3 linked regions of the Rattus norvegicus genome follow. The protein of the gene in region 2 purifies or fractionates together with the protein of the main gene of each other region. This does not show direct contact. Links are inferred from orthologs where the notes say so. Each region holds a gene or a part of one and is shown on either strand. Other genes may lie near its edges.

Region 1 (9,661 bases), on a different chromosome or scaffold from region 2:
AGGTTTATGGAGAAACTTTGTCTCAAAAACTAAAGAGTGATTGAGAAAAACATCCAACACTGACCTCTAACCTCCATAGGCACGAACACATACATGTGCACTTACACATACACCACACACACATGTACACACACTTAATTTAAAAAATAAATAAATAAAAGGCTTTCAAAAACAATCTTGTGGCAAAGAGATCAAGGAAGCTTTAAACATTCTGGGTCTGAGACCAGGTTACACTGGCTCTAGTTTGGCGAACATGGGTGCCAACATTGACATACAGAAGTAATCTTATACTAGAAGCTTGGAGAAGGTGTACCTTGCAGCAGTAAGCAAAGTAAAGAAAATCAGTCATTGTGGGAACCTTCCTCATGTAGTGGGCCATGCTGTCAGCATGGTAGAATGGTGTTTTACATCCTATCATGTCTGCACAGTTTCCACATGTGTAGTCAACAGTCTGTTACAAAGCTGGCTTTGGATTAGATGATTCTGTCCATGCATGACTATGATGGGTACACCGTGTACATACATACATATATATATATATATATATATATATATATATATATATATATATACACACACACACACACACACACCCATACACATACAAACATAAACATACACACACAGTGTGTGTGTGCATGTGTGTGTGTGGGTGTGTATGTACACATATACAGTGTGTATGTTGTTTTACTTTGTTTTTTTTAAGATTTATTCATTTATTATATATAAGTACACTGTAGCTATCTTCAGATACACCAGAAGAGGGCATCGGATCTCTCTTTACAGATGTTTGTGAGCCACCATGTGGTTGCTGGGAATTGAACTCAGGACCTCTGGAAGAGTAGTCGGGTGCTCTTAACCACTGAGCCATCTCTCCAGCCCCTTTACTTTGCTTTTAACTTTGGGGAACGTTTCACTAGTAGTGTACATGTGTATGCACATTAGCATATGTATCACAGCACATAGGTAGAAGTCAGAGGACCTCGGGGACTCAGTTCTCTTCCTGCACTAGGGGTCCTAGAGATCAGACTCAGGTTATTGGGCTTGTACAATACAGTTTTTACTCAATGAGCCATCTCAAACACCAAGTGTATCCCTGGCTGACATAAAACCCACTGTTAGGCCAGGTGGACGTTAAACTTATAGTGAACCTCCTCCCTCTGCCTGGTAAATGCTGAGACTATAAGAAGACAAGTGTTACCACGCCATGTATGTGTGTTCGCTTGTGCACACATGCAGAGACTCAAAAGCACATTGCCAAGCCAAGTGAATGAAGTGTATATTCATGTAATAAGTATTCGTTAAGTATTTAATAATTATAAAGTTCATTTTAGAGTAAGAATAGTCAATCTACAATAAAAATTACATGAGGGGCCAGTAAGACGGCTCAACCAGTCAAGGCACATGTGAGCCAGGAGACATGATTCAATCCCTGGACCCCATGAAGGTGAAAGGAGAGAACTGACTCTGGGAAGTTGTCCTCTGACCTTCACATGGGAACCTTGGCTCTTGCACTCACACATATACATACCACACATGCTTGAGCATGTGCACACACACACCACATACACATGCATATACACACTATGCACACATGTACACACATATACATACCACACACACATATACAGGCCACACATGTGCACACACACACACACCACATACACATGCATATACACACTATGCACACATGTACACACATATACACACACCACACACACACACATATACAGGCCACACACTAATAGGTTTTTTTTTTAACAGTTTTTTAACAGTTTTTTACAGTTCCCTGGATGTAGTCTCCCTGCTTACCGGAATCTTCCACTGACTATTCTCAGATTGAAGATGGCTGTGAATAACTGAAGTGAAGAATCAAATGTGGAAATAAAAGCAACCCTCAAAGCTCAAACTTGTTCCCAAATTAAATAACAAAACCAAACTGTTACAAATGGAGTTTTCTGAGAGTAAAACGTGCCTCACAACTCGGAGGATTAGAACAACAATTTTTAAAGTACCAAGGGTTCTAGGAGAAGGGAGAGCTTCAGATCTACTGACCTACACCTGAGTGAGGGGTCACTCAGCAGACGTCAGCACTGAAAGCTTTCCTAACAGGGGAGCCTGGACACCCTAAGGATGTACCCACCCCCTCCAAGACAAAACAGGTTATCCACCCAGTCTTGGGTAACATCAATTTTAACACACACGCACACACACACACACACACAGGTGCACACGCACGCATGCATGCACACAGTATCAGTCATCTATCATCTGCAAACCTGTGGAGTCCAAGGTTCTCAAGAGACACCACAAGGAACAGTTGTAAAGATTCTAGCAGCTTTTATTACAACAGTGCAATAGTATTTCATCCCACACTCAACAACATAAACCATCATCTTCTATAAAGCAGCTTCAGGAAGTTCAGATCCATCTGTAGCAACTCCCACCCAGTCCTGGTGAGTGCCCAGATGTCACACCACCCCACCAACATGTGATCACTGCCCAGCAGACATGTGGCATTGGGCCTGCTGTTTTACTTGCCTGTACAGACATCAGAGCATGCCTCACAATTAAGCACTTTATTACAGAACTCTGTGACATCCATGAACTCTGTGACTACTCATGCTTAATATTAGCCGGTTATACCAAATGCCATAAAATACAAAATGATAGGAAATATAAACATCAATTTGTATTTCAAGTTTATAACATTTTATTTACAAAAATAGGCTGGGAAGGCCAGGGTTCCTCCACCCTTCAGTCTGTCCCGGAGAAACCACTTGCATCACGTGTTCCTCTGGTAGTTTCTAAGGTTGCAATGGACTCCTTCAGAGCTATGCTCGCCTAGAAGCTCAGGTGGAAAGGAGAGAGAGTGGGAGGGGCAGGAGGGGAGGGGGATGGGAGGAGGACCACGAACAGTCGCACCGGATAAATGGCTTTACTGGGAAGACTGTGCCCGGCCCCGAGCACCGGCCATGAAATCACGCTGCTCACACACTGATTCCACACTGCTATGTACAGGAGCCAAGGCTGCTCTGGGTTCTGAAGGACACTTATTCCCCAACAGGACACTGTCAAGACAATGGCTCTGAGGCAGACACTAGGACATGACTCCGAAGACGGGGTTGTGGCGGCAGATGCTGGGGCCGTATTCCTCATAGTCCTTCTTGGTGTGGCAGACCTGAAAGAACTCCGGCTGCAGGAGAAGCAGCCAGCGGAAGGAAGATGATGAGCAGGGGAAGAGGCTATCCTTATCCCCAGGTCCCCCTGCCAAGCACTGTTCTAAACCTGGTGACAAACCAGGCAGAAGTTTATTTCGCTTTTTAAAATTCACTCAGCAATTTCCAACATTGGAAAGCAACAATAAACTTACTCAGTTTCCCTTACTGGGTTCAAATATGTGTCAATGTGAACTAAAAATAACTGCCAACAACATTGAGGGGGAAATAAATAAATAAATAAATAAATAAATAAATAAATAACCAACCAACCAACAACTTGGAAAGGACAATGAGTAGGGTGTGTGTTAACGAGACATACAATTTAAATGGTAGCTAAAACATTTTTACATCAAACAGAATTCATTTTGCCTATTGAAGGCCATGCAAACAGAACAGATGCTGTTTCGTGTTTGTATCCAAACTCCATAGGGAAGCAGGAAGGACAACAGAGCAGTCGAGAAAGGGACTCACAGTCGAGGCGAGCATAGAGCCTCCAAACCAGACGGCGTAGCGCTGCATGTGGTGTGTGATCACCTGCACCTCCACAGGCTTAGGCTGCAAAGGCAAGCAACCGCGTTTAGTCTGCACAGTACATCCTTCCACCAGTGTGACCATGACGGACCCTGAGCTCCTCCAGTGACGGCCTCAGCCGCACCGCACTGTCAGCCCAGGAGATTCAGGGGAGGACGTGCTCGTGCCTAGCTGAGGCCCCCTCTTCCAGTACTGAAACACATCACTAACCTAGCATTAATCAAACAAATCATTGGGCTTAGCAAGGTCAATAACAAAGTGAACCCCCAAACACTAAAACAAAACAAACATTGTAACGGGCACCTCACTGCACTGGGCTCTCTGCTCCCTCTTCCCTACCAAATCCCACCTCAGGGAGAAGCCCATGCAGCACCGGGCAGCTCAGAGCTGTGGCCTTGGAGAAGCACAGCCTGGTTCCCTGCACACACAGGTTATTCCCTCACCATTGTCTCTGCAGCACCCTGGTCACACACACTGATGCCTCATCTTGCAAAAGAGAGTCTGAGTGGTCTTAAGGACGTCTCCCTTTGGACGTGTGAATTTGGGCATCACACCTCACTGCCTGCCCCCCCCCACACACACACACTGACATGGCGGACAGCAGCCTGCACACAGCCTCCTACCTTTATCCTGCCCCCGCTGAGCTCTTGGCTCAGCTTTAACCTGGCGTCCACCACTCTCTTCAAATCTCTCTGCAGACGGCGTCCAAAATCTCTGAACATTGTGGAGCCTCCAGAGAGAACGATGTTCTGAAAGACCAAAGTGGACAGTGAGCCGCCTCGGGTGACACCAAGCTGTCTGTGATGGTCTCATCACTGCCCCACAGCAGGGCTGCTGGGTAAGCAGCACACTGACGCAGACGCAGACACTAACTGAGGCATGAACGCCTGCCGTCGGGAGCTGAAGGCAGACTGCTGCTGGACCGCCTGCATTCCGACGGCAGTACAACTGCAGGGGCATGGAGAGGTCGGGATGCTGCAGCTCCAGAGGCAAGCTGCCTACCTCAGGCTAGCTTTAGTCCTGGGTTAACCATTCCTTGTCCACCCCTGTGCCAGAACAAACATCCTGTGACTGATGTATAAAAGTAAGGTATTAGCTTAGAAGATCCCTAGTTTCCACCAAACCAAAAGCTAACTAAGGCAGTTAGCAAATAGCATCTGCCTACAGAAACGCAGACGCCCATCCTGCTGTATCCACCTCCCTTATGTGCCCACCAGTGTAGTTTAAACTTTTTTTGATCTACAACTTTCTTTGATCTGTAAAACTCTGAAATTGCTTCCACATTGGAGCATGGAACCTGGGGTAGCCTCAATCTGCATTTCCGGGCCTTGGTGCTGTAAAGTCCTCTCCAGAGTAAGTCCTGATTTCCTTTAACAGTGAGAGCTGTCCCTTTTCATCTGCAGGGAGAATCAGACACAGCCTGGCTGCAGAATCTTCCTGAGAAACTTTCATCCTTCCTCAGAGAAAAGGGGCTATAAAAAGGCACTCTTGCCTCATAGGCTGATTCTCCTCAGAGCTCTGCCATGCTGTCTGTCTGTCTGTCTATGTCACCAGGGCCTGAACTCCCCAGAGTTTCCAACATGTCTATTACCCACAGCATTAATAACTGACTTCCTTGAATCCCTCACCTGAGACCTTACTTAGCCAAAAGGCATGGGTTATATTTTTTTCTTGTGACGGCTTGCCACCAATCATTCCCCTGGTACTTCCTTCACCGTAAGCAATTGAAAGCACAAAGCAGCGTGTGCCCGAGCTCCCCCTGCCCTGGGGCAGAACCCTGACAAGAGCCAAGACGACAGAAAAGCCACATTCACTGACAGGCAGGTTCCACACAAATCACTAACATGGATCTTCAATTCTTTTTGCCATAATAGCCAACAGGGCAACAGGGCCTTCCGCTCACACTGGAACCCCTTCAGAGCAGCAGTGTGGAAAAGAGGCACACTCAAATCACCCGGGGAACATTTTCAAATGCGTCCTCCCTCTGCCCACAGCCCCACGAATGCGCCAGCCTCTATCATGTGACTGCACCAGCCGTCTGGTGGGTGAGGCGGGGTGAGAATCATTAAACTGGCTGGCTGGTACCATGAAAGCTAACAGTTCCATTCTCTCAGGCTACAGAATATTACTTAGGACAACGAAAGTGAAATTGCCCTCATTTAACTTTCTGACAGAAAATATCATTTGAGAAAACTATAAAGAAAATAAAAACCATCCTTCACGGAACCACAAGTCCCCACACTTGCCTTCCTGGATGCCTTGTGTAGCTGCAGGGCCTGCAGTCAGGCACTCCCTCAGCCAGCCCATCCCTCACAAGTTTATGGGAAAGAGATCCATACAGACCCAGGCCAGACAGCCCAGGTTATGATGGATCCGTTCTGTTCACTGCTGCTTGCTACCAGTGAGAGATGGCCAAGCCGAGGGCCACAGTGGCAGCGGTGAGATCTGCAGGGCAGGCAATGGAGACAAAGGCAGAAGTGCAGAGCCCTGTAAAGCCACCTCAGATCTAGGCTTTTGCCTTGGCACATACTCCTGTTCCAATGTGAGTTTAGGTAGACATTTCACCTCTAATACCCTGCCCATAGCATTAGGAAAGCCTACAAGAAGCCTGCACTGCTTCAGGAGCTAGGCTGAGGACCTGCAGGGACACTTTGCCAGGCCACAACAGGGCTGAGCCATGGGCCATGGGAAACCACAGCTGGGCAGCCACTGTGATCTCCAGTCAGATGTCTGAGAGGTCCTGAAGGGAGCTTGTAGGCCAGATGTGAAACACTGAGGCAAACCTTCTGCAGCTCCCTAGTAGAGAAAAGTTCAGGCTGTCAGCTCTTGTTCAGGGGCTAATAGCAGGAGGGACCCTGAGGGACACTGACATTGTGCAGAGGAGGGACCCTGCCTCAGGCTTCACAGCTCCAAACCTGTCTTCTGGGCACTGTGAAGCTGCCACACGTGCTCCCAGGTGAAAACGTAACTTTGCTTTCTCTTCCGTGGGGGGCGGGGGTGGGGGTGGGTCGTTTGTGGATGCAAGTGTGGGTGTGTCAGGGTCAGAGGGCAACCTCAGGGGGTTGCTCCTGACCTTCCCCTTTGCCCCTTGCTGACCCCCAGGATGGCTGTCCCGTGACCTTCTGGGGAGTCTCCTGTCTCTGCCTCCCACCTCATCCTAGGAGACTAGGATCACAGATACAGACTACCCTCTAACCTGGATTACTCACACACCGAGCCTCCTCCCCAGCCCAGCTTTTCACTTTTTTACATGTTTAAAACAAGCACAGTTCAATGAACACAACATCTAGAATGATAGAAAGCTCTTATCTTAAAATGTGATTTTTACATTTTTTAAACTTTTTCAAAATCATAGACTCCTTTAAGAATTTTTAGATTTAGAGGTATGAAGCCCTTCCTCAAGCCACAGAGTGCTCTCATTTTGGTCCAGGGTCTGCCCAATGCCACTTTAGGTGTTTGGTGGTACATAGAGTGTAGTGCCTTTCCCCAATGATGGTGCTAGCTAAGGGAAGAGGCTGTCACAGTGCTCCCCTGCCTGTCACAGTGCTCCCCTGCCTGTCACGGTGCTCCCCTGCCTGTCACGGTGCTCCCCTGCCTGTCACGGTGCTCCCCTGCCTGTCACGGTGCTCCCCTGCCTGTCACGGTGCTCCCCTGCCTGTCACGGTGCTCCCCTGCCTGTCACGGTGCTCCCCTGCCTGTTATAGTGCTGCCCTGGTTATCACCATACTCCCTTGACTGTCACAGTTCTCCCCTGGCTGTCACAATGCTCCCCTGCATGTCACAATGCTCCCCTGCCTGTCACGGTGCTCCCCTGCCTGTCACGGTGCTCCCCTGCCTGTCACGGTGCTCCCCTGCCTGTCACGGTGCTCCCCTGCCTGTTATAGTGCTGCCCTGGTTATCACCATACTCCCTTGACTGTCACAGTTCTCCCCTGGCTGTCACAATGCTCCCCTGCCTGTCACAGTGCTCCCCTGCCTGTCACGGTGCTCCCCTGGATGACACAGTGCTCCCCTGTCTGTCACAGTGCTCCACTGGCTATCACAGTGCTCCCCTGCCTGTCACAGGACTCCCCTGTCACAGTGCTCCCCTGGATGACACAGTGCTCCCCTGCCTGTCACGGTGCTCCCCTGGATGACACAGTGCTCCCCTGTCTGTCACAGTGCTCCACTGGCTATCACAGTGCTCCCCTGCCTGTCACAGGACTCCCCTGGATGACACAGTGCTCCCCTGCCTGTCACAGTGCTCCCCTGTCTGTCACGGTGCTCCCATGACTGTCACAGTGCTCCCCTGCCTGTCACGATGCTCCCCTGGATGACACAGTGCTCCCCTGGATGACACAGTAACAGACATAAAAGTCATTAAGGACATCTAGTTGCACAAAGTACATCGTGTGCAAACATTATGGCCGTGGGGAAACCTAGGGAAATGAAGTCCCTGAAAGCAGCAAGGGTAGGGTGGCAATGGCAATGGGTCACCTGAAGAGTGCCACATTTTTAGAGCCCACTGGTTGTCCTTACTCCCTGAGTCCTCCTAGTTTCCCACCCTGTGAGCAGTTTCCTAGATCTGGAAGCCCACGGGCTTGTTTGTGCGTTGACTTTGTTGAGGCAGAAAATCGATCAAACACAGAATGGGACTTAAAATGCACTTCAGTTCACACAGAAGATCTTGTGCAATAGCTGAACTGAATGGCGATTCTGTCTTCCTCACAAAAGATCGCTGTGGCAGTGGGGAGTCGTGCATATGGCCTGGCAATCATCTCAATAGTTCATTTCCATCACACTAGCGATCCAAAAGACACTGATCATTAGAAATCTGCAGTGGCTCCAACATAACTCTGGCTTCAGAGACAGACAGCCCTGCAGGACACCATCACAGTGGCACCCGCATGCCGAGAGTGGCACCCGCATGCCGAGAGTGGCACCCGCATGCCGAGAGTGGCACCCGCATGCCGAGAGTGACACCCGCATGCCGAGAGTGGCACCCGCATGCCGAGAGTGGCACCCGCATGCCGAGAGTGACACCCGCATGCCGAGAGTGGCACCCGCATGCCGAGAGTGGCACCCGCATGCCGAGAGTGACACCCGCATGCCGAGAGTGGCACCCGCATGCCGAGAGTGGCACCCGCATGCCGAGAGTGGCCGTGTCTTTTCACAGGAATGTCACTCAGGGTAAAGAGCCTAGAATGTACACAGCCCCAGAGGTCAACCCCAGCAACAGCAGCAAATCCTGTTCACTTAAGTCTGTTAACAGATGTTTTAGTGTATTTAAACTCTATTACATAGAAAGGGGCAAATCGTAAGCAAGGAGTTAATGCGATGACCCCTGTGGGGTGATGTCACAGGTGAGGCAGGTATAAGAGAGAACGAGGCCTGTCATTGGGCGAGAAGGAAGGATGGGCGGGAGAGAAGTTTGGAGGAAGAGGAGGAGGGGAGAGGAGCCAGGGACAGCATGGAGGCTGACGTTAAGAGTCCACGCTTTACCTTCACAGGTTGTTATGAATGTTCTTTGCATGTTTAGGTGGGCAATTATATCTTATCAATTGGATCAAAGGTTTTTGTGTTGTGTGTTCTTTCATGTAGCGATTTAAGAGTAAGAAAATATGCAGCGGCTACAGACACTGGGCCGCCGTGGAGTCGGAATGTGTGTTTCTGGCATGGAAACCTGCCTTGGGAACTGGATGGGTGGAGAGATTGCTGCCAGGCTCAGAGAGAGGCCTTCCGCAGTGTGATATGGGATGGAGCAGAGCAGGTGAGAGGCTTTGCTGACTGAGACAAGATATCTAGCAGGTATCACGGGGCACTGCAGTGCAGGACCTAACACAGGTAAAAAGACAGCATTTTATTTTTTATATTTTTACAACAACAGACCCCCCCCCGCCCCTCTTCAATTAATCTTCCTATATAGTGCCA
Region 2 (9,512 bases):
CCCTCCGTACATTCAGCCCATGAGCTTTTTCCATCAGCAGTGTTATTTATTAAAAGAAGAGGGTTTGGGCAAGGTTGCATATAATTTATGAACAGGCTGAAGGGAGTTTTCTAATCCAAAATTCCCAGGTAAGGCTTTGAGCCTTTCACCTGCTAAGAAAAGGCTACTAGGAAAAGGATAGGGAATGCATGTAGAGAATCCCTGGGAATAATTTAAGATGAACCCCAGTGAATAAAGCAGAGAATGAGTCACTTCTATAAATCAAAATCGTTTTTCTGAAATTGTTTCCAGGCTAGTTAAAATATGGCTGTCAGTTCCTGGTTCCTTGGTTTGCATATCTGAATATTCATAACCTTGAAAATCATTTGCATTGATCCCTTAGAAAAATAGAAATGTCACAAAACCCCAAATTGGAGCTTTAGAAAACTCGTATTCATTAAGTCTGTAGATACATATCTCCCTCATCGATTTTCTACTAGATTATGATGAAGAAGTAAGCAGAAATATTTAGTGGTAACCACAGCATCGAATATATACATATATGTGCCATATACGTTTAACTTTCATTACCACTACTTCCACATTGGTTGCTACTAATTTATTTATTAAAATACTTGGGATTTTTTTCTTTAAAAAGTGTTCTTTAAGAGACTATGCAGGCTTGACAGTAGTTTATCACTAACTGTAGATAATTTTTATTAGACCTTTTCCACAGAAGTGGTGAGTTTATTCTTCGTTTAAAGAAATCTTTATGGTGGATATGATATTTTATTAAACTAATGTATTTTAGGTAATTTCTGGTGATTATTATGACTGTATCCATTATTAATTCAGTCTACCTTTTCATCAATCCATCTTATCCAAATATAAAGGTACTGTCTCTGGTTATAACTAGGAGCGGCAGCCCCGGTTGGGTACTACAGATGGAGGAACAAGTGACTCTGGTTCTCCTTTTAGGGAAATGACTGTCTTTTCTGACAGTCTGATTGGCCTTCCGTTTCCCGTGCTTGCTAACTCATTAGTGCTTTCAGTACGAAGTAGGTATGGAGGGTCCAGCCCAGTTTGAATAACCTGTAGGAAATAAAGTAAGCTGCCACCTACAGGTCGTGTGGGTTATTACATCATCTGGAGCCCTGTTCATCAATATGCAGCTATCACGGCCTGTCCCACTCTGATTGCCAGAGTAATCTGCCAGCACCTCAGTTAATACACAGTGTAGTTTCAGTATCAAGTTTAGGCTTGTTTTCCAGTAAGAATCACGCAGACAGGATGGAATACTTTGTTGGTAAACTGCATCATTCGATGGCTTAATTCTTAGGCATATTCTAAGACTTCTTGAATACCTGTCTAGACAATTGTGTGTATTTCCCTGGAAAGTGTAATCTCTTTGGTTGACAGAACAGGTCAGAACAATCTTTGCTTTTAAAAAAAATCATATTCTTAAGCGCAAGGCCCTGGGTTCGGTCCCCAGCTCCGAAAAAAAGAACCAAAAAAAAAAAATCATATTCTTTTAATTTCATTATTTTAACCTTTGGTTGACATATTGGAAAGAAACCCATACAGTTAATGACCATAGTAGTTTTTGTTACTGTTCACAAAGTCAAGTCTAACCCACCAGTCCCATAAAGTGGGGCTGCCTTTTTTTTGGTTCTTTTTTTCGGAGCTGGGGACCGAACTCAGGGCCTTGCACTTCCTAGGCAAGCGCTCTACCACTGAGCTAAATCCCCAACCCCGGGGCTGCCCTTTCTGTTATGCCCTTAACCTTCACTACAGGAAACATGACCGCTGCCCTACAGGCCGCTCTGAAAAACCCCCCCATTAACACAAAGAGCCAGGCAGTGAAGGTGAGTGGTAAACTACAGCGTTAATCCCTTCTGCTTCGCTATTATCAAAGTCCTCTGACACCTACCTTCAATGACCATTTTAACTATTTACTGTGCTTGACACGAGGGTTTACAGTGTGACTTTTGTTTTGAGACTGGACCTGAGTCTATAACCTGGCCTGAAACTTGCAGAGATCTCCCGCCTCCACTGGGATTAAAGGCATGCACCACCACATCCAGCCCGAAAGGAAGCCCCTGCTAAGTAGAACGGTCATGGAAAATAGGGCTGACATGTGGTTAGGACGCGTGGAGCACAGTAAACAGAAAGGGTGGGGACACCAGCTCTGTGTGTGCTTAAGGAGCAATCTGCTCGAGTTGAATTCAAACAGGTTCAAAAAACACTCAGCTGCCTCTTAATTCCCTAAGTTTTTCTTAATTATGTAAATATGAAATATCAGAATCAAAGGCATGAGCGCATAAAAAGGTGGTTTCCGTGCTACTTCCTCGGGTCACAGCTACTGCCTTATATGGTATTGCTGCACACTGAGGGGTTTCTACCAGGGTTTGTGTTCTTTTAAAAAATTAATAGAATCTTACACTTGAGCTGCATAGTAACGTACATGATCTTTCCTTAGCAATAAGATTATTTCCGTGGCATTCTAACTGCTGTACACCAGTATATGACATCGTATATGCAACTGATCCCTTTTACTGTATATTAGGTTTTCTAGTTTTTCCTGCTAAATGAATAATTTTATATTTTAATTGTTTATGTCAATAAAATTCCCAGAAGATAAATGCTAGATCAAAACTGACTTTTTTTTTTAAAGGCTTTTGATCCATAAAGCATTGCCAAGTCCCTCAGAAGAACTTCGTAGCTTACATCTCTGTATCAGTCCTCCACTGATTCTCAGGGAACTGCTTAGCTGTTTCTTGCTATACAGGTAACAAAGCCCTGTGGTCTGAAGCCTGCATCTCAGGAACCCAAGAACTTAAGAATTATATGTAAATGCATGATAACTATTGAAGGCACAGAACTTTGTATAGGAATTTTTCTTTGCTTTTTAAAAGTTGTTAGGAACCTCATTAAATTTTCAGTTTTACCCCTTCTGTTTTCATATGGTTTTTGTTTGTTTGTTGGTTTTGGTTTTTTGTTTTGTGTTTTGACAGCTTGTGTGTAGGAGGTTATAGCTCTAGTTACAAAGATATATAGGGAATTAGACCATCTCTAAGCTGAAGAGAACATTCTGGTATAAACATTCTGTAAAATCCCACCCGTAGGAATGACGGCAGCACCTCTGTGTTGAGCAGAAGGAGCAGTGAGCAGCTGAAAGGGTTGTTCACGTGTTCCCTCTGCTTAGGTGATGCGTAAGGAGGTGCCTTTGCTTCTGGAACCTAATGTCTGTGGATAGGAAACTTTAAAAAGTTCTTTTTTAATGGTTTTTAAAAGGATCTTTTAAGAAAATAACCATTCTTGAAAGATAGTGCAAGATAGAGTTATATAAATCAGTTTTCTTCTTTGGTTAGGAGTTTTTTTAAGACCAAGAAGTAAAATGTAAATGTTATAATAAATTGTTAAAATTTCCCATCAGTCTATTAGTAAATCCCCAGTTCTACCTTCAGTTCTATCAAAAATGTGCTCCTAAGTTGACCGTGGTGGTGCACACCTTTAATCCCACAACTCAGGAGGCAGAAACAGGCAGATCTCTGTGAGCTCCAGACCACCCTGTTCTACAGAGGACAACAGCCACAGCTACAGAGAGAAACCAAGTCTCTAAAACAACAAACAAACCAAGAGAAGGGGTTCCCTTCTTCCCACCTCAACTCTCATGCCAACCAGAACCAGGCAGTGTTGTTGGAATCACCCCAGTGGGTGTCCAGTGTTGTTGGAATCACCCCAGTGGGTGTCCAGTGTTGTTGGAATCACACCCGTGGGCGTCCAGTGTTGTTGGAATCACACCCGTGGGCGTCCTGCCTTTGCCTTACTCCTGCCTCACTGCTGTTCTCTACAGAGATGCCAGGTAGTCTTAAAATGGGAAACAGATTGGGTCGGTGCTCTAGAAGCTCTCCACTCTCTCGTTTCCCAGTAAAAGCCTGAGCCATTACGGTGGCCAGCTGTCCCTCACATGGTCTGTCTTCTCACTTCGCTCCCGCTTCTCCCACCACCCAGCTCTGTCACATCAGAGCCTTCGGAACACTCTGAACACTGAAACCCACGCTAACAGCACTTGTTCTTTCATCCACACGCTGGCCGTGTTCCCACAGCATCTTCTTTTACATCCTCCAGATCATCCTTCAAATTCACTCTAGCGTGGCCCTTTTAAAATTGTGTTCCCGGCATACACATGTCTAAATATTCTGTTATATATTTACCTCAGGACCGGGCAGGCAGCATCGTCTTGAAGGTGCTCATCTCCTTTAAAGCTAATGATATTGAAAAGGCTGTTCAGTCTCTGGACAAGAATGGCGTGGACCTCCTAATGAAGTATATTTATAAAGGCTTTGAGAGCCCGTCTGACAATAGCAGCGCTATGTTACTACAGTGGCATGAAAAGGTAAGTTAATAAACTAACAGACCCTACAACTGGCTCCTTTGAAGTGGAGAAGAATAACCTCTGTCACCTGAAAAGCAGTGACTCGATTGTACATCTTTATTAAAGTGACAAGTTTACACTTGCTTATGGGCCTTGATCTTAAGACTCCCATTTGCATTGCATTTTATTTGCGTGTATTTAGTGCATAAGTGATTTTATACTTAAAGTGTGAGTTCTTTCACACTAATTGAAGGATAGAAATAACCCAAGATGAAGGGCTAATCTGTGGTACCTACAAACCATGGGCTGTTACTCATCCATGCTACAATATCGACAAACCTAGAAGATACTGCACTAAGTGAAGTAAGCCAGACACAAAAGAATAAGTATTCTGTATTTGTACTTACGTGAAATGATCTGAAATAGGCAAACTCAGAGGGATAGAACGTTACTAGGAGTCTCCAAGCACCGTGGAGAAGGAGTGCTTGCCTGTATTCCCAAGGATAGATCCCAGCACTAGTTTTGTTTTGTATTTCAGAAATTGTTATTGGCCATATATGGTAGTGAACGTCTCTAGGGAGAGGTATCCCAGGCCAACCTTGTCTACATAATGAATTATATGCTATATTGGGAGGCTGGGTCTTGGGGAGGGAGAGAAATCAAATTATTTTTACTTCTATATAAGAATTTATTAAATGGGTGAACCAGGTGACTCAGTTGAGTAGAATTTCCTGCCAGCAAGCCTGACAACCTGAATCAGTCTCTGGGACCCACATGATGGACAAAAAGAACTGACTACCTATATACACACACACATACACACACACACACACACACACACACACACACACACACACACACTCACTGTACCCACACAAGTGTACACAAGACAAATATATTTTTTAATTTTTTAAGAGCTTTCATACCTAGCTCTTGTACTGATAAAATATAAACAATTCCATAGCCATAGAAGGACTGGGATTCCAGATGCTAACCATTATATGTGTGTATGACTCTTTCATGTACATTGTGGGGACTGAATTCTGTGAGTTAGTTAGCACTTTTAATGTGCTGAGCCATCTCCTTCAGCTCCCGAAAGTCAGTTCTTTCTAAAACCCTTCTCTTGAGTCTGAGTGGAAACGTTTACAAGATAAAACTAAAAGTAAATTTTGTTGTTGAGCCTTAGTTAAATCACCTTATCTTACATATACTACCAAAGAGCTAGTATTTATGAATAGTGTTCCTTGCAGTATTCCAGTATAGCGCCCCCTCTCACTGAAGGGAACCTGTGGAGTTATTGGTATGGTCATCTTACTTTGGACACTGTTGGCTGGGCTCCACCCTTGTTTACGTTTCACTTACTCCTCACTAGCTCTGTGAGGTGTGTACATGTCTTCTGTTCTTTGGGATTTTTTTTCGGGGGAGGGTCTGGGGGGAGGTCAAAACAGGTGCTCTGTGTGTAGTCTTGGCTATCCCGGAATTCACTCTGTAGACAGGCTGGCCTTGAACTCAGAGCCATCTGCTTCTGTCTCCTGGGTGCTGGGATTAAAGGTGTGCTCCACCACCACCACTACCACCTAGGTACACATGACTTTCTTATCTTCAGTTTGCAGTTGCCGCCTCTAAGACCCAAACTAACGTAGGTCTAGAATAGCCTCAGGACCACAGTGACATCAGTTGGGAGCTTGTTATAATCCAAACACATCTGAGAACTTTATAAATATGTCAACTCATGTAATCTTCACAAGTTACTAGAAGGAAAAACCCTTGTAGGTGAGAGGAGTAGTACACGTGTTGTTGGTTTTTCCAAAGTCTCCAGGGTTGACTTTCTGAGTGTCCTCAAGTCCATCTGTGCCAGTCTCTGGTGCACCTCACAGCATCTCCTGGCGGCTGCTACTTGCTCCATTCTGTTTTCTACTCAACCACTGGAATGAGATCTAAAATCCAAAGTATCTTGTCGTTTGTTGATGACCCATTTCACTCTTCCCTTAAGCTCCAGCCTTTCCCTGATACACCCCACCCTCACACCTCCAAACTGTTTTCTGGCCTCAGGCTGTCAGCCTCCCTGACATTTCTTACTGTCCTAGGTATATGCCCTTACTCTGCTTCTGTAGCTCTCTAAGATAAGTCACGGCACTTCATACAGAATAGGGAAATGTTGTTCTCGTATAAGTGTTGTACAGTTGTCCAAATAAGTATACCAAAATTTCTAATTGCTGGTATTTAATCATGACTCCCAGTTATTCCAGTCAGATTCCAAGTTAGAGATCAGCTCTTAGCTCTTAAGTAATATCTTCTTGCCGTAGGGAGGAAATCTGCAAACCAAGTGGAAGTTGGGATAACTTGTCCCAATCTCAGGTTCTTCCCAACCTCAATGAGGATGGGAGATGGAGAAATGAATTTATATTTGAAACTTGTTCTAGTCAGAAACAGTGCTACAGACATCTTAAGCATTATTTAGGCATAGTATACTAGAATAGTGACTAGTGTCTGATTGGAAGTAACTTCCCAAGGGCAGGAACCCTGAGAGGTTGGTCTTTGTTTTTGTTTTCTCCTAGTAATAAGACTGTCATTAGTATCATGCTGACACCTGCCTGGGGCATAATAGGTGCTCAGGAAGTACTTACCAAGTTTATGAGTTCAGTGTTTTGCCTGATCTTAGACTTTTGACGTTTCCTGTGTATTTGGTTTGTTTTAGGCACTTGCTGCTGGAGGAGTAGGGTCTATCGTTCGTGTTTTGACTGCAAGAAAAACCGTGTAGTCCAGCTGGAACTGGACAGTGTTCAGAGGAGTGGGAGTTGCTGGTACAAAGACCAAAACAACCAAATGGCACCGCTGCCCCATGGGTAGCATCTGTTTCTCTCAGCTTTGCCTTCTTGCTTCCTTTTTCATATCTATAAAGAAGAAAATTACATATCAGTTTCCTTTAATGAAAATTGAAATAATGTGGAGAAAATTTTGTCTCAGTGGGGTGTTTGATCCTTTCATAACCATGTCAATAATGTGTATCCCATTCTGTAATTTATATTCAAGTTTGTGCAATTTCTAACTCTGTTGACTGGTTTAAGGGTTTTACTTTATTTTTAACCAATACTGAGAGATGTGATCAAATTCGAGGCCAGTTTCCTAACTCATTGCTGGTCAGGAAGTGATCTTTATTTTTAAAAACGAGAGACTGGCAGCTAGTAACATTGCAAAACTGGACCACACTTCCCTTATAAAATGTGTTTCCAGAGCAAGGAGTGGGTGAACCCCACTACCACTTTCCAGCTTTCTTTCTGCTTGCCTCCAGATGATGCTATGAGTGGAAGTGTGTACTTCCTGTTAGCATCCAATTATCATGGCCTCTCAATCTCTTTGTGGTGACCCAGGGTCCAGAGCAAGAAGTCTTGCTCTATATAAATGTATTTACACAATATAAGCGCCTCTTTGGCACAAACATCCCATTTCCTTCTGATAATAAGGCTGCCTGGGGAAGCTATCCCAAGTGGGAGAATGGACTCCAGCAGCTTCTGAATGAATGCTTTCATCAGAAATAAGGTAGCTGCCTTAGACATTTACACAAGGGTTCACTGTAACATTTCACACGCCCAATGGTGTCCTCAGTGTTCTTCAGGTAATGGGGATCTCAGAAAATGTGGTTCTGATCCAAATACATAGTGTGTGTTTCAGCTCAGTGTTTTATAAGAAAGGAAAATGCCGCATAGTAAAAGAAAGGTGTCTACTTTGTCGGACAAACCAAATTGGTTCTCAAAAATGACCGGTGCTTGTAAAAAGTTATTACAAAGTAGTTCTGAAACCAACCACCCGAATGCCTGTGGCCAAGAGGGAAGCAGCCCGGTTGTCTTCCTAAGATGCCAATTCCAGAGTCGCTGACTGAGGTGAGAACCAGCACAGAAACTATAAACTGCTGTTTTTGATACCTGCTTTTTGTTTTGTTCTGTTTTGTAAAATTATGATAAACTTCAGAAAATAAAATGTCAGTATTGAATAATTTTTGTTCTTACTTGAGTACTTGAAATCTCGTTAGTTAAGGGACTGCTCCAGTGCCGCTGTCTGTATGGAGGATGGATAACGTCACTAATGGGCACAGGTGGAGAAGAGCCACTACGGATGTCAGCACTGCTGAGGTGCTTTCTGTGACTCCAGAGCCCTCTGGGTCGCAGCAGGATGTACCAGCGACCTGCAGGGCCTGATTCCTGTAGCTGGCAAGGACACTCCCGACTTCCAAACTCTCCCTGGTTAGACCCCAGACCTACCTCACACCTGTCTACTCAGCAGCTTTGCTGTCCAACTGCGCCTGGCTGACCCCTGCTTTACTCAGGTTAGGACCGTGGCTTAAGTGAGGCTAAGCAGTTCCTAGTGGAGGTTGTCAAGCAGGTTAGCACAACCACCACCTTAGAAACAGGGAGCATGCTTAACTGCCTTTGTGACCTGAAGTCTCAGGACAAATGCTGGAATCGGTATTTTAGATTCACAGGAACGGATACAGTAAGATCCGTCAGCTCTGCTGAGTAGAGAGTGAAAATAGACAAGCAGCACAGCACAGGAACTGAGCCAGGGTGGGTGCCAGCCGGAGACAATGGGCTTAACAAATGTGTCTGGCTAGGCCATGGTGATTGACAGACCGCCCAGGTACTCTGACACACAAGTGGTTCTTCATTGCCCAAGTGGGAGGTAGGGTGTGTGGAGCTGGGGTGTGTAGAGCTAGTGTGTGTGGAACTAGTGTGTGGTTGAGCTAGTGTGTGTGGAGCCTCAGGGCAGGGTCAGGAGTCTTTGAGTTGCATTACCACCTTATTTATGAAAATCTGAACCTGGAGCTTACCAGTAACTTGACTGACTGGCCAGCAAATCGCTAGGGGTCCTCCTGTGGCTTCCTCCCCAGTGCTGAGGTCACAGACACCAGCCATGTCTGACTTGGGTGAGAGCTGTCTGAACTTAGGTCCTCATTCTTGTCTCAGTGAGCCCCTTGCCTGCAGCCATCTTCCAGCTCCACAGAAGCCCATCTCCACCTGTTTCTCTTCTACTTCATCGCAGTGCTTACGTTTGATTTGGTTTGACTCCCTTCTGTAGAGAGAAATTACCTCAATTTTTAGTAACAGACAGGCCTCAAACAATAGACCTACCTCAGCCTCCATCAGAGGTTCCAGGTGTG
Region 3 (10,264 bases), on a different chromosome or scaffold from region 2:
CTCTTATCTTGGTGTCCTTCTTCGTGTCTCTTGTCCCCCATTCTCTTCCAGGTACCCTCAGCCCACCTTGTTGACACTTAACCACTAGGCCATCTTTCTGGTCCCAGCATTCTGCATTTCTAAGTGTCAGTGCTTTAAGTGGGGTGCTGAATATCCCCCAAAGGCCCGTGTATAGAAGGCTTGGTCCCTAAGGTAGCACAACTGCAAGGTTGTGCTACCCTCGGGAGTCAGAACCTAGTGAGAGCTTGCCCCATCGGGTCACAAACTCCGAAGAGCATCGTGGTACCCTGCTCTCTTCTACCTTTTTATGTTTGCTCCCCAGCCTTTGAGGCAAGCATTTTGCTTTGCCACATGCTCCATGTCACGTCCGCCACAGACCCAAAGCGATGGGTCTGCCCAATCTCATATGACGTGCATGCAAATGATGTATGTGTATACAGTGTGCCTGTGTGTACGCACATTCGTGTGTGAGAATGTTGGTACACAGGTACTACGGTAAGCTTTTGGAGGTCAGAGGTCAACCTTGGATGTCAGTCCTTGTCTTACACCTCGTAGGGTCTCCTGTTCGTACCTGTGTGCACCAGGCTAGCTGGCCTGTGGGCTTCCTAGGATTTAACCGTGTCCCTCGCCCGTCGAGCCACAGACACAGTAGATATATAGATATGGGCTGCTGTGTCAGCTTCGTGTGGATTCTGGGGATCTGAAGTCCAGTCGTCACAGGTGTATGACAAGTGATTTTCTTTTCTTTTTTTTTTTTCTTTTTTCTTTTTTCTTTTTTTTTTTCTTTTTTCTTTTTCTTTTTCTTTTTTTTTTTTTTGGAGCTGGGGACCGAACCCAGGGCCTTGCACTTCCCAAGCAAGCGCTCTACCGCTGAGCTAAATCCCCAACCCCGACAAGTGATTTTCATATTAGCCATCTCTCCAGCCCAAACTTTTCCCTTTATAAGTTAATGATCTCAAGTACTTTGTAAAAGCTACGAGAGGCCAGTGCACCATCTACCCTGATGACTAATAATTTACAGGCAGACTTCTCCTTTTGGCTACTAAGTCAGCGCTGTTGCAGAAGTCTAAAAAGCAAGCACTGAATAACTCAATACTTACTCTCTTTGGGTCCACCGATTATACCAGGCCACGATGGTCTATTGGGAGAGACCAGAGCAGGACGCTTATTCTTGCTTCCCTACCTTATATCAAGAACTTCACGTCTCAAAACACTTCCGCAGTTTCTGCTGTTGTAGAATAAGGCTGCTTGACTTAGAGAGAGTTGTGGAGACCTGAGAACTCAATGGCCTCAATTGCCCCCCATGAAACATGAAAGCTGTGGGCTTTATTTAGGCTGATGTGCTAAACACTGACGCAAAGGATGGAAAACGCTGGCTGCAGTGCTGTGCAGCTTTATCCCCAGCACTTGGAAGGCAGAATCAGGTGGATCTCTGGGAGTTCTGGGCCAGCCTGGGCTACATTGAAAGTTCCAGACTAGACAGGCAAACTCAATGAGATTTTGTCTCAAAGGGGAAAAAAAAATCACGTTATCTACTAAATGGTTCTTATTTTATGGGTGCTGTTTTGTTTTGCCAACTTGACTGGATTTAGAATCACCTAGCAGACATATCTGGGCATGTCTGAATGTGGAGACACCATCCCGTAGTCGGGGTTCTAAACACTATTTTCTTGTTGCTTTCTTTCCAGCTGTGGGCTGGGTGCAGGGCATATGCCTGTAACCAGCAGCCTCCAGTCTGCCATGTCTTCCCTGGAGTGAGGGACTGCATCCCTTCAAACCAGAAGCCAAAATAAACCCTTCCTTCCCTATGTGGGTTTTGCATGGATTTTTCTCATAACCAAGATAAAGTAACAAACCAACATGGCTAATCTTCGTCATTTACTGTAGACAGTATATTTAAGTATATTTTCATCTATCCAGACTAAACTTCTTGAAAAAAGAAACTGTCTTTTGGGGGCTGGGGATTTAGCTCAGTGGTAGAGCGCTTACCTAGGAAGCGCAAAGCCCTGGGTTCGGTCCCCAGCTCAAAAAAAAAAAAAAAAAAAAAAAAGAAACTGTCTTTTGTAAAGCATTGTAGTCTAAGTAAAACACTGCTGAGCTTTTCCTTGTTTGTTTTTGGCTCTGGGTACCAATTGTATACACGCAGGAAACGGCTCGCTTAACCTACAACCGTAAGGAACCCTTGCTTTCTCTGAATGCTATTTTTCCTCTGTCAAGTTAGGAGGGATATTCAATTTGCAGTTATCTCCCCACTCCATTCCTTTGCTCCCCCATGACAGAACCTGTAGCCGTGGGACAAACTTAAAACATGAGAGCTCTAAGTCAGGAGGACTCTGTGAACCACTGAACTATTTAACTGTGAGTAACACCACATGGGTGTGAAACTGGGAGTTTTGCAGATTCCCCTCTGTAGACAGTGCCTTACAACCAAGGGCTTCTGAACTGAAATTCCCTGAAGTCCCTTCTCTATTTAAGGTCCTGCGGACAACTTGACCTTGCTCAACTAGGATGCAGTGTGAAGAGATCAAATGTGATCGATTCCCAAAGCATCTCAGGGCATCTTGGGCCTTTCAGAAGCCATCTGCTAGCCTTGACTTCCCTTCTGAATCTCCCATTTATACATACATATATATGTATGTATATGTGTGTGTGTGTGTGTGTGTGTGTGTGTGTGTGTGTGTGTGTATGTATATACTGTTGCTGTCTTCAGACACATTAGAAGAGGGCATTGGATCCCATTACAGATGGTTGTGAGCCACCATGTGGTTGCTGGGAATTGAACTCAGGACCTCTGGAAGAGCGATCAGTGCTCTAACTGCTGAACCATCTCTCCAGCCCATTGAGTTTTCCTTTTTGAGACACGATCTCATGTAGTCTAGGCTGCCCTGAAACCCCTATGTAGCCTACGCTGGCTCTGGTCTTCCTCCTCTCTACCTCTGAAGTGCTTGCAATTACAGGCTTGTGGCACTGCCTCAGGTTTATACAGGGCTGGGGAGCTAAGGTTGTGGATGATGTTAGGTAAGCACTGTCAACTGAGCTACATCCCCAGCCATGATCTTTTTTTTTTTTTTTTTCTTTTTTCTTTTTTCTTTTTTTCAGAGCTGGGGACCGAACCCAGGGCCTTGCGCTCGCTAGGCAAGTGCTCTACCGCTGAGCTAAATCCCCAACCCCTCCAGCCATGATCTTTATTTTTACACTTAGCCTAACATTCTCAGACGTGTGTAAAGCCCCTGCTGTGCATGAGCAGACCCCTAGCTTCCACCAACCCTAAAGCTAAGAGTACTCTAACCTAGTTTGAAACCTAAGAAAGATTGACTCTTCTTGCTATAGCCCTCCTACCTGATGTTCCCTATAACTTCGCTATATGTACTGACTTATGGCTTTCTCTTGTCCTGCAACTATAAAAGTTCACCAAAGGGGTTGGGGATTTAGCTCAGTGGTAGAGTGCTTGCCTAGCAAGTGCAAGGCCCTGGGTTCGGTCCCCAGCTCTGAAAAAAAATAAAAAAAAAGAAATTGCATCTACATAGCAAACACTCTTCCCATATTTCCACTGCACCTCCTTGCAGTGTCACTGTGGGTGTAGAAACAAGTGCTCCTGATCTAGGAGCGGTCAAAGGCACTCTTGGGTAGACATGAGACTTTCTACTGAGGGTGCAAGGCACGGACAGCCCTCCAGGCAGAAAGTAGTCTACCTACCAATCCTGACCCACCCTCTACGAAGGTGCATACGTAGTTGCAAGGGAAAGAACACAAACCTAGTTGCAAGGGCTGGCTAGATAGCTCAGTTTAAAAGACTGTGCTGTTCTTGCCAAGGACCTGAGTTCAGGTACCACATGGGGTAGCTTACGGTTCTAGCTCCAAGAGGATCTGTTGTTCTCTTCTAGCCTCCGGGGCACCTGCACTCACATGCACATACCAACACAGACATCCACATGAATATTTTTTAAATTTTTGGAATTGTTCTTCAGAACCAGGAAGCCTGAGAGAGCCTGTCTCAGTGATTTATGACAAAAAAACACTTGAGACTGCACACTTTATGACACTGCACACTTGGGCCATGGCTCAGGAGTGTGTGTGTGTGTGTGTGTGTGTGTGTGTGTGTGTGTGTGTGTGTGCTTAAGTCTCTTTAAAGAAAGGAGCAGGACTCCTATCCAGTTCCATAAGCACGCCCTAGCGCTGACTAGCGGCTGCCTCATCTGAGCAACCGCAGCCATTCAGACAGAGCACCCCAAAGAGGGCTATGTTCTGCGCCTGCGCCCGGCGGGCAGCCGAAAGAGGCTGCTCTGCGCAGGCGCCCTGACCACTTCCGGGATCTGTCAGCCGCTCCCTCTAGGCCTCCCTCCTCCGTCCGCGCCCGCCGGAGCCTGTTCGCGTCGACTGACCAGAGTCCGCGAATCGTTCGCTCCGGACCTCCCGACCTCCCCTACCCCAGGTAAGGAGCTGCAGGGCCGAGAGTCTGGTCCGGGTCGCCTCCATTTCTTGTATGTTCTATGGCACGCGGGGGCGGCGGGCCCAGGTCGGTTAGGCGCGGGGTCTTGAGTTGAGGGGGCCGGGATCTCCGTTCTTCGTGGTTACCCCTGAGTCCCTGATCCCCACCTCCACCCTACCCCCCAACACACACAGACACAGACCGAGCGTTCCTGAGCACTTTCCAGCTGCCCTCCGTCTCGGATGGGAGAAGGAACAGCTTGGCCTCCGACACCCCCACAGTTCCATTTGCACCCCTACTGTGAGCGTTTACCACAATCTGTAAAATTAGTTTAGACGGGCCGATCTCCCCCGATGGCTTGTCACGATGGCTTGTTCATCTCTTCAACGTCTAGGATGTTGCCTAGAGCAGCCTCCGATCCATCAGTTATTGGGGAACCCTCCCCAGCAAGAGAAAACCCATCTTTCGAGTAGCCTTAAGATTCCTTTGCTCCAGCCCCCGCCCCAAGTCAAAGTTGTACTCTCCTCTTCATTCCGATTCATAGGGTCCTTTATGTAGAACCGCCGGAGTTCCCATTTGACTCTGCCATTTGTCAGGTGTCTCTGGAAAGGTTGTTTCTTGATGCCTCAGTTTCCCCAGCTGCAGTAAGAAGATTCTTAGTCCGCTTGGTTTTATTGGGTTCATGTGGAGTTCATTTGCTTGAGTTGCTTACAGTAATTCCTAACCCAGAGTAGCTGATCTAAAATAAGTAACAGCCGTTACTAGTGCCTTCATTTCCTTTCTGCTCTTTCCTCCGGAGAAGGACTTGAGGACTAGGTTTTATTTATGTTTCTGGCCCCATTCAGATACTTAACATTGTTGGGAACTTGGGAAGCACTTAATAAATTGCACCTTAGAATCTCTGAGTATAAAACCATCTGTTGTCGTGGTGCGACTTGGGAGGCTCCTATCTCCTCCTTGCCCAGTTTTCTGAAATGACCTAGTTTGGCATCCTATCTTATCAGTGTCACGTAATCTTTTGGTTTCCATGTAGGCCTTAGGATTTCAGATCTCTAGAAGTTATCAGTTCGGGGTGCTGTCTGGGGGCGTGGGGCTTCTTCAGTTCATCTTCTGTCACAACTGGGGGATCCTTCTGGAAATTGCAGACTCCTATGGAGGATGGGTGGCAGTGTTTTGATCTAAATTATCTAGCGTTAGGTCAAAATAAGTTCTCTATAGGAAGTGTGGAGATGGTCTGATGAAGCTGGAATTTAGAATGAAGCATTGGTAGGGTGTGGTAACCTTGTTGGAGCTCTTGTTGGTATCGCTGGGTTGGGTAACGAGAGCAATTAGTAACTAGATGAATCACAGATTTGAAAATGACCCTAACAGGGAATGGAAGTTCTAACTTAACATGAATTTGTCAAGTTCTAGTGGAATGGAGCCAAGACATCAACATAGGTAGACGTGTCCAAGTTCAGAGGATCCTTCTAGGGCTGGTCCAAAGCTTTGTGCCAGAGACTAATTTACTGGGCTTGCAAGATGGCTCTGCCATTAAAGGCTAGACTTACAGAAAACTAACTTATTGGGGTCCGGTCTGGGGTGCTTTTATGTGCTATCTCACTTAACCTTCCTGACAGTTGTCTTGTAATGTCATTTGGAGATGAAATGAAAAACGTCCCAGCGTCTCATGATGTATGTGTTAAAACGAAGATTCAAACTCAGGTCCCCTTGTCTCCAGATGCCATGGCTAACCAGATAGTAAAATGACTCCACTCGAAGGCTGGGAACGTGGCTGAGTTGGTGGAGCCCTTGCCCTGGTGTGCATAGTGTGCGGGTTGGCTCCCCAGCAGGGCAGGAAGAAAAGACTGTGCTAAGTGAAAACCGAAGAGAGTAGGAGCCCATGGAGTCACCTCTTTTTCAGTCCTTTTCATCCCTCAGTGCTGGACAGCGGCAACAGAAGCCTGGGTTTTTGGTCGTTGGTTATGTTTGAGACAGATTCTTAATTGTATATAGTCCTGGTTGGCCTGGAACTCACAGAGATCCTTCTGCCTCTGCCTCCTGAGTGCCCAGAAAACTTATTGTTCACATAATCACCTAGAGTGTTCCCCTTTCTCCTTTTGAGCCTTGTTAAGATTTTCAAACACTGCTTAAATATCACCTGCTGTTTAGTGATTTTAAATTATCACCATATGAATAAAGGTTCGTTTTGCTTGGTACAAAATTGTGGCTTAAAATAGCCAAATGACTATAAAGGAAGGACATGTCTGAATGTATGTTCAATTATAAGACTTGACTGAAAGAACAAAATTAGAAATGCAGTTGTAGAAGTAATTCTGCTGTTCTTTAGGAAGTGCGTCCTTAGAAACCCCGAGTGAGAGAATGAGAAGTCTATCTGGAGGTGTGACTCTCAGCTCTTCATGAACTAGGTGTCCTCTTTGCATGTGGATAACCAAGGCACTAGCTTACAAACCAGCTTTGTTCCCTTAAAAAGCAAGTCCATCAGCTTTGGGGTCTAAGCTGCATTGTTCACAGTTAGTAATATTTGTAACAATCCATTCTTTTAAGGTTTATCTGTGTGTGTACGTTGCCATGTGTGTGGTTGCCATGTGTGTGGTTGCCATGTGTGTGGTTGCCATGTGTGTGTCTGTATGTGACTGCCATGTGTGTGGTTGCCATGTGTGTGTTGCCATGTGTGTGGTTGCCATTTGTGTGGTTGCCATGTGTGTGTCCGTGTGTGTGGTTGCCATGTGTGTGTTGCCATGTGTATGGTTGCCTGCAGAGAGCTGTCAGGCTCTTTGGAGCTGGAAACACACAGAGCTACTTGACCTGGTGCTGGGAACTGAACTCTGCTCCTCTAGGAGAGGAGCAGGTGCTGCTGACCCCTGAACTTACTTCTCTTTGACCATGGCTTCCTTTATAGAGTGTTTCTTTTCTGTGCCACAGGCACTCACTTTTGTTTATGGAGTTTGCCTGTTGTTTGCCTCACAACTTTCTAATGTCTCTTCCATTCATTCTCTGCTAGTGTCGAATCCCTATCTCACTGGGCATGGAAACACATGGCCTGCGGTCAGGACGCTAAGGCAGAAGTATTGTTAATTGGAAACCAGCCTGGGCTACATATAAAGACTGTCTCAAAGGAAAAGACATTAATTACAGCATTCAGTAGGCAAGGGCAGGTGGATCTCTGTTTGAGCCAGCCTGGTCCACATAGTAAGTTCCAGGCGGCCAAGGCTGTAAGTGAGAAGAAAGGACATTTATCCCAAACAGATCATCACTTTTCCCCTAACGGCTAAGACTTGTTCTTACCTAAGGCAAACCATTATCATAGCTAGGATGAAGATAATTTCATGCTCTTATATAATAATCAAATTCAAATTTGTTATACAACACATGTCTTTTATGGTTATTTTTAAACATACTAATTAGAATCAACCATCTTTTATGAAATTTGATTTTCTTAGCTCTTTTGAAATCTAGAACAGATTCTTCCCTCTACCTCCCAAGTGCTGGGATCTAAGCTGTTTGCTGCCATACCTATCCATACTGCCTTTTAAAGAAGTCCAGGCAAGCTGTTTTCTAGAGGGCACCTCTGGGCTTTTCGAGAGAGACAGAGAATGAGCAAGTGTGAGGTGTGTTTATGTGTGTGCTTGTGCTCACATGAGAACTGTGTGTTTGTGGTGTGCGTCCATGGGAATGGGCCATGGCATGTGCAGATGTCAAAGGACGCCTCCCTCCCGTGTCAGTCCTCACCTTCTACCTTGTTTGAAACAGAGACCCTTCCGTTGCACACTACAGTGTGCCCTGAGGCCCTCCTGAGGGTCTCCTGTCTCCACCTTCTAGCTCCCTGTAGGATCACTGGGACCACAGAGGCTCTCGCTGCTGTTTCCAGCTGTCCTCAGGGTCTGGGGGACCAGAGCTCAGGCCATCTGGCTTGCACAGCAAGTGCTTTAACTGCTCAGCATATCTGAGGAGCGACATCAGTGTCGACTTCTGGTGTTGCTTTCTGCTTTACCTCCTGTAAGCTGAAAGGGAGATCCAGGCCTCGATTGCATTTAGAGTAAATATGTTTGGCAGGTGTGCTTCATAACTGGGTTGATCATCTTCCAAGGTTTATCTAGGATGGCCTATAACTTCCTGTTAGACTGACTGACTAACTGACTTTCTTTCAAGGCAGAGTCTACTCCATAGTCCAGGATGACCTGGAACTCTCCCAGAGTTCCTCTGGCCTCTGCCTATTGAGTGCTGAGATGCACTTGGTCAGATTGACTTTTATTCTAAAGTGACCTGTAGGAATGTCCTGGGGCGTGTCCTTGTGAGTGCAGGTGCTGTGGGGCTGGAGTTACAGTGGCTGTGACAGTCACTGTGGGTGCCAAGACTTACCCAGGTCCTCAGTGGTAGCACTAACTGCTGGGCCACCTCTTCATCCTCTCTTCAGTGGGGATTAACCTGGGGCCTTCCACATGCTGGCAAGCACTCTCCCATTGAGCTGTATCCCCAGGTCTTCCTGCCTTGAGTTTCCGTTTTGTTTTTACAAGTATCCTGCTGCGGATGATGAATTAAATCATTGTTTTCAAATTATGATATGCTGGTCACGTCCCCCTGGGACTGTGGGTTTAGATCTCTCTGCTCCCGTTTGTAGCTACAGGTTTGGTTACTTGGTCAAGGTGATGCCTATCAGACTTCTTTATAGTGAAAGCATGTTTTCCTTCTCATAACTTAGCAAGTCCTGTGTGGAGTTGTAGTTTGAGGCTGAATACCTACTCCATCAGTCTGTGATTTGAGAGTCAGTTGGTGACCCTTCAGAGTAGATTCCATACTGGTGGTTACTGTGCTCTAGTCCTTGTTACGGAATTGTTTTTTGTTTTGTTTTTTTTTCTTTTTCTTTTTCTTTTTTCGGAGCAGGGGACCAAACCCAGGGCCTTGCGCTTGCTAGGCAAGCGCTCTACCACTGAGCTAAATCCCCAACCCCACGGAATTGATTTTTGTATTGCAAGTGAGTCTTCTTACTGGGAGATCAATGTTGTGTTTATCCCCAAATAGGCGAGTCCTTCTGATAACTTGAACTCTTAGTGCATGACATTTTGAGTGTTTTCTTTCCTATTGCTCGTTACAGCTTTCTGACCTGTGAAAACACGTAGGAATCATGTCTCTGCATCAGTTTCTGCTAGAGCCAATCACCTGCCATGCCTGGAACAGGGATCGGACCCGTAAGTGTGCTTTGAATTTCCTGATGCTTCTCTGTGGAATGGGCTTGTATAGAGGCCAGAGAGCCATGTCAAGTGTCTTCCTTAATTATTTGAGACAGGGCCTCTCAGTGAGCTTGGAATATTTCAGTTTGGCTAGGCTGCTCTGCCAGTGGCCAGTGAGCTGCAGGTGTCCTCCATCTTGGCCCCACCCCACCCCAGTGCTGAGGTTATGGGCATATGCCGCCACGCCGGAGTTTACATGGGTTTGGGGGGTTCCACTCAGGTCCTCCTATTTACGTGGCCAGCATATTACCAGCTGAGCTATAGCCAGCAGTTACAATTCTCAAACTCCAGAGCTGCAAGTAACATCAGGGATGGCACGCTGTTAACAGTTGTGCTGCCTGCCTTCCTCAGAGATCGCACTGAGCCCCAATAATCATGAAGTGCACATCTACAAGAAGAATGGGAGTCAGTGGACGAAAGCTCACGAGCTGAAGGAACATAACGGACACATCACAGGTAAGGCAGCTGCAGGCTCAGTGTGCTCTTTCCACACAGAGCACCTTCCTCAGTAAGTAAAGCGCCTCATCACACCTCACATTCCGAGTGCCGTAGGACTTACTGAGTCTTCTCTTTGCTTTCTTTCCTCCTTTCTTCTTTTCTCTTT

What was found.
Region 1: the proteins of Arpc5 (region 2) and Actr3b purify together in Homo sapiens (affinity purification with mass spectrometry; 5 studies listed by BioGRID and IntAct, counting the BioPlex papers as one, with this or other methods). This does not show direct contact. The link is inferred for Rattus norvegicus from reciprocal best matches to the Homo sapiens genes ARPC5 and ACTR3B.
Region 3: the proteins of Arpc5 (region 2) and Arpc1a fractionate together in Homo sapiens (co-fractionation; 8 studies listed by BioGRID and IntAct, counting the BioPlex papers as one, with this or other methods). This does not show direct contact. The link is inferred for Rattus norvegicus from reciprocal best matches to the Homo sapiens genes ARPC5 and ARPC1A.

Annotation. Positions count from the first base shown.
Region 1 is NC_086022.1:9,993,233-10,002,893, forward strand, and holds the end of Actr3b (actin-related protein 3B), read right to left. Parts: intron 4,502-9,661; coding exon 4,376-4,501; intron 3,777-4,375; coding exon 3,693-3,776; intron 3,197-3,692; coding exon 3,101-3,196; 3' UTR 2,923-3,100; downstream 1-2,922. UniProt on the Homo sapiens protein: Plays a role in the organization of the actin cytoskeleton.
Region 2 is NC_086031.1:67,454,938-67,464,449, forward strand, and holds the end of Arpc5 (actin-related protein 2/3 complex subunit 5), read left to right. Parts: intron 1-1,771; coding exon 1,772-1,844; intron 1,845-4,201; coding exon 4,202-4,378; intron 4,379-7,055; coding exon 7,056-7,118; 3' UTR 7,119-8,351; downstream 8,352-9,512. UniProt on the Homo sapiens protein: Component of the Arp2/3 complex, a multiprotein complex that mediates actin polymerization upon stimulation by nucleation-promoting factor (NPF).
Region 3 is NC_086030.1:14,633,102-14,643,365, reverse strand, and holds the start of Arpc1a (actin-related protein 2/3 complex subunit 1A), read left to right. Parts: upstream 1-4,313; 5' UTR 4,314-4,432; intron 4,433-9,524; 5' UTR 9,525-9,554; coding exon 9,555-9,618; intron 9,619-10,011; coding exon 10,012-10,116; intron 10,117-10,264. UniProt on the Homo sapiens protein: Probably functions as a component of the Arp2/3 complex which is involved in regulation of actin polymerization and together with an activating nucleation-promoting factor (NPF) mediates the formation of branched actin networks.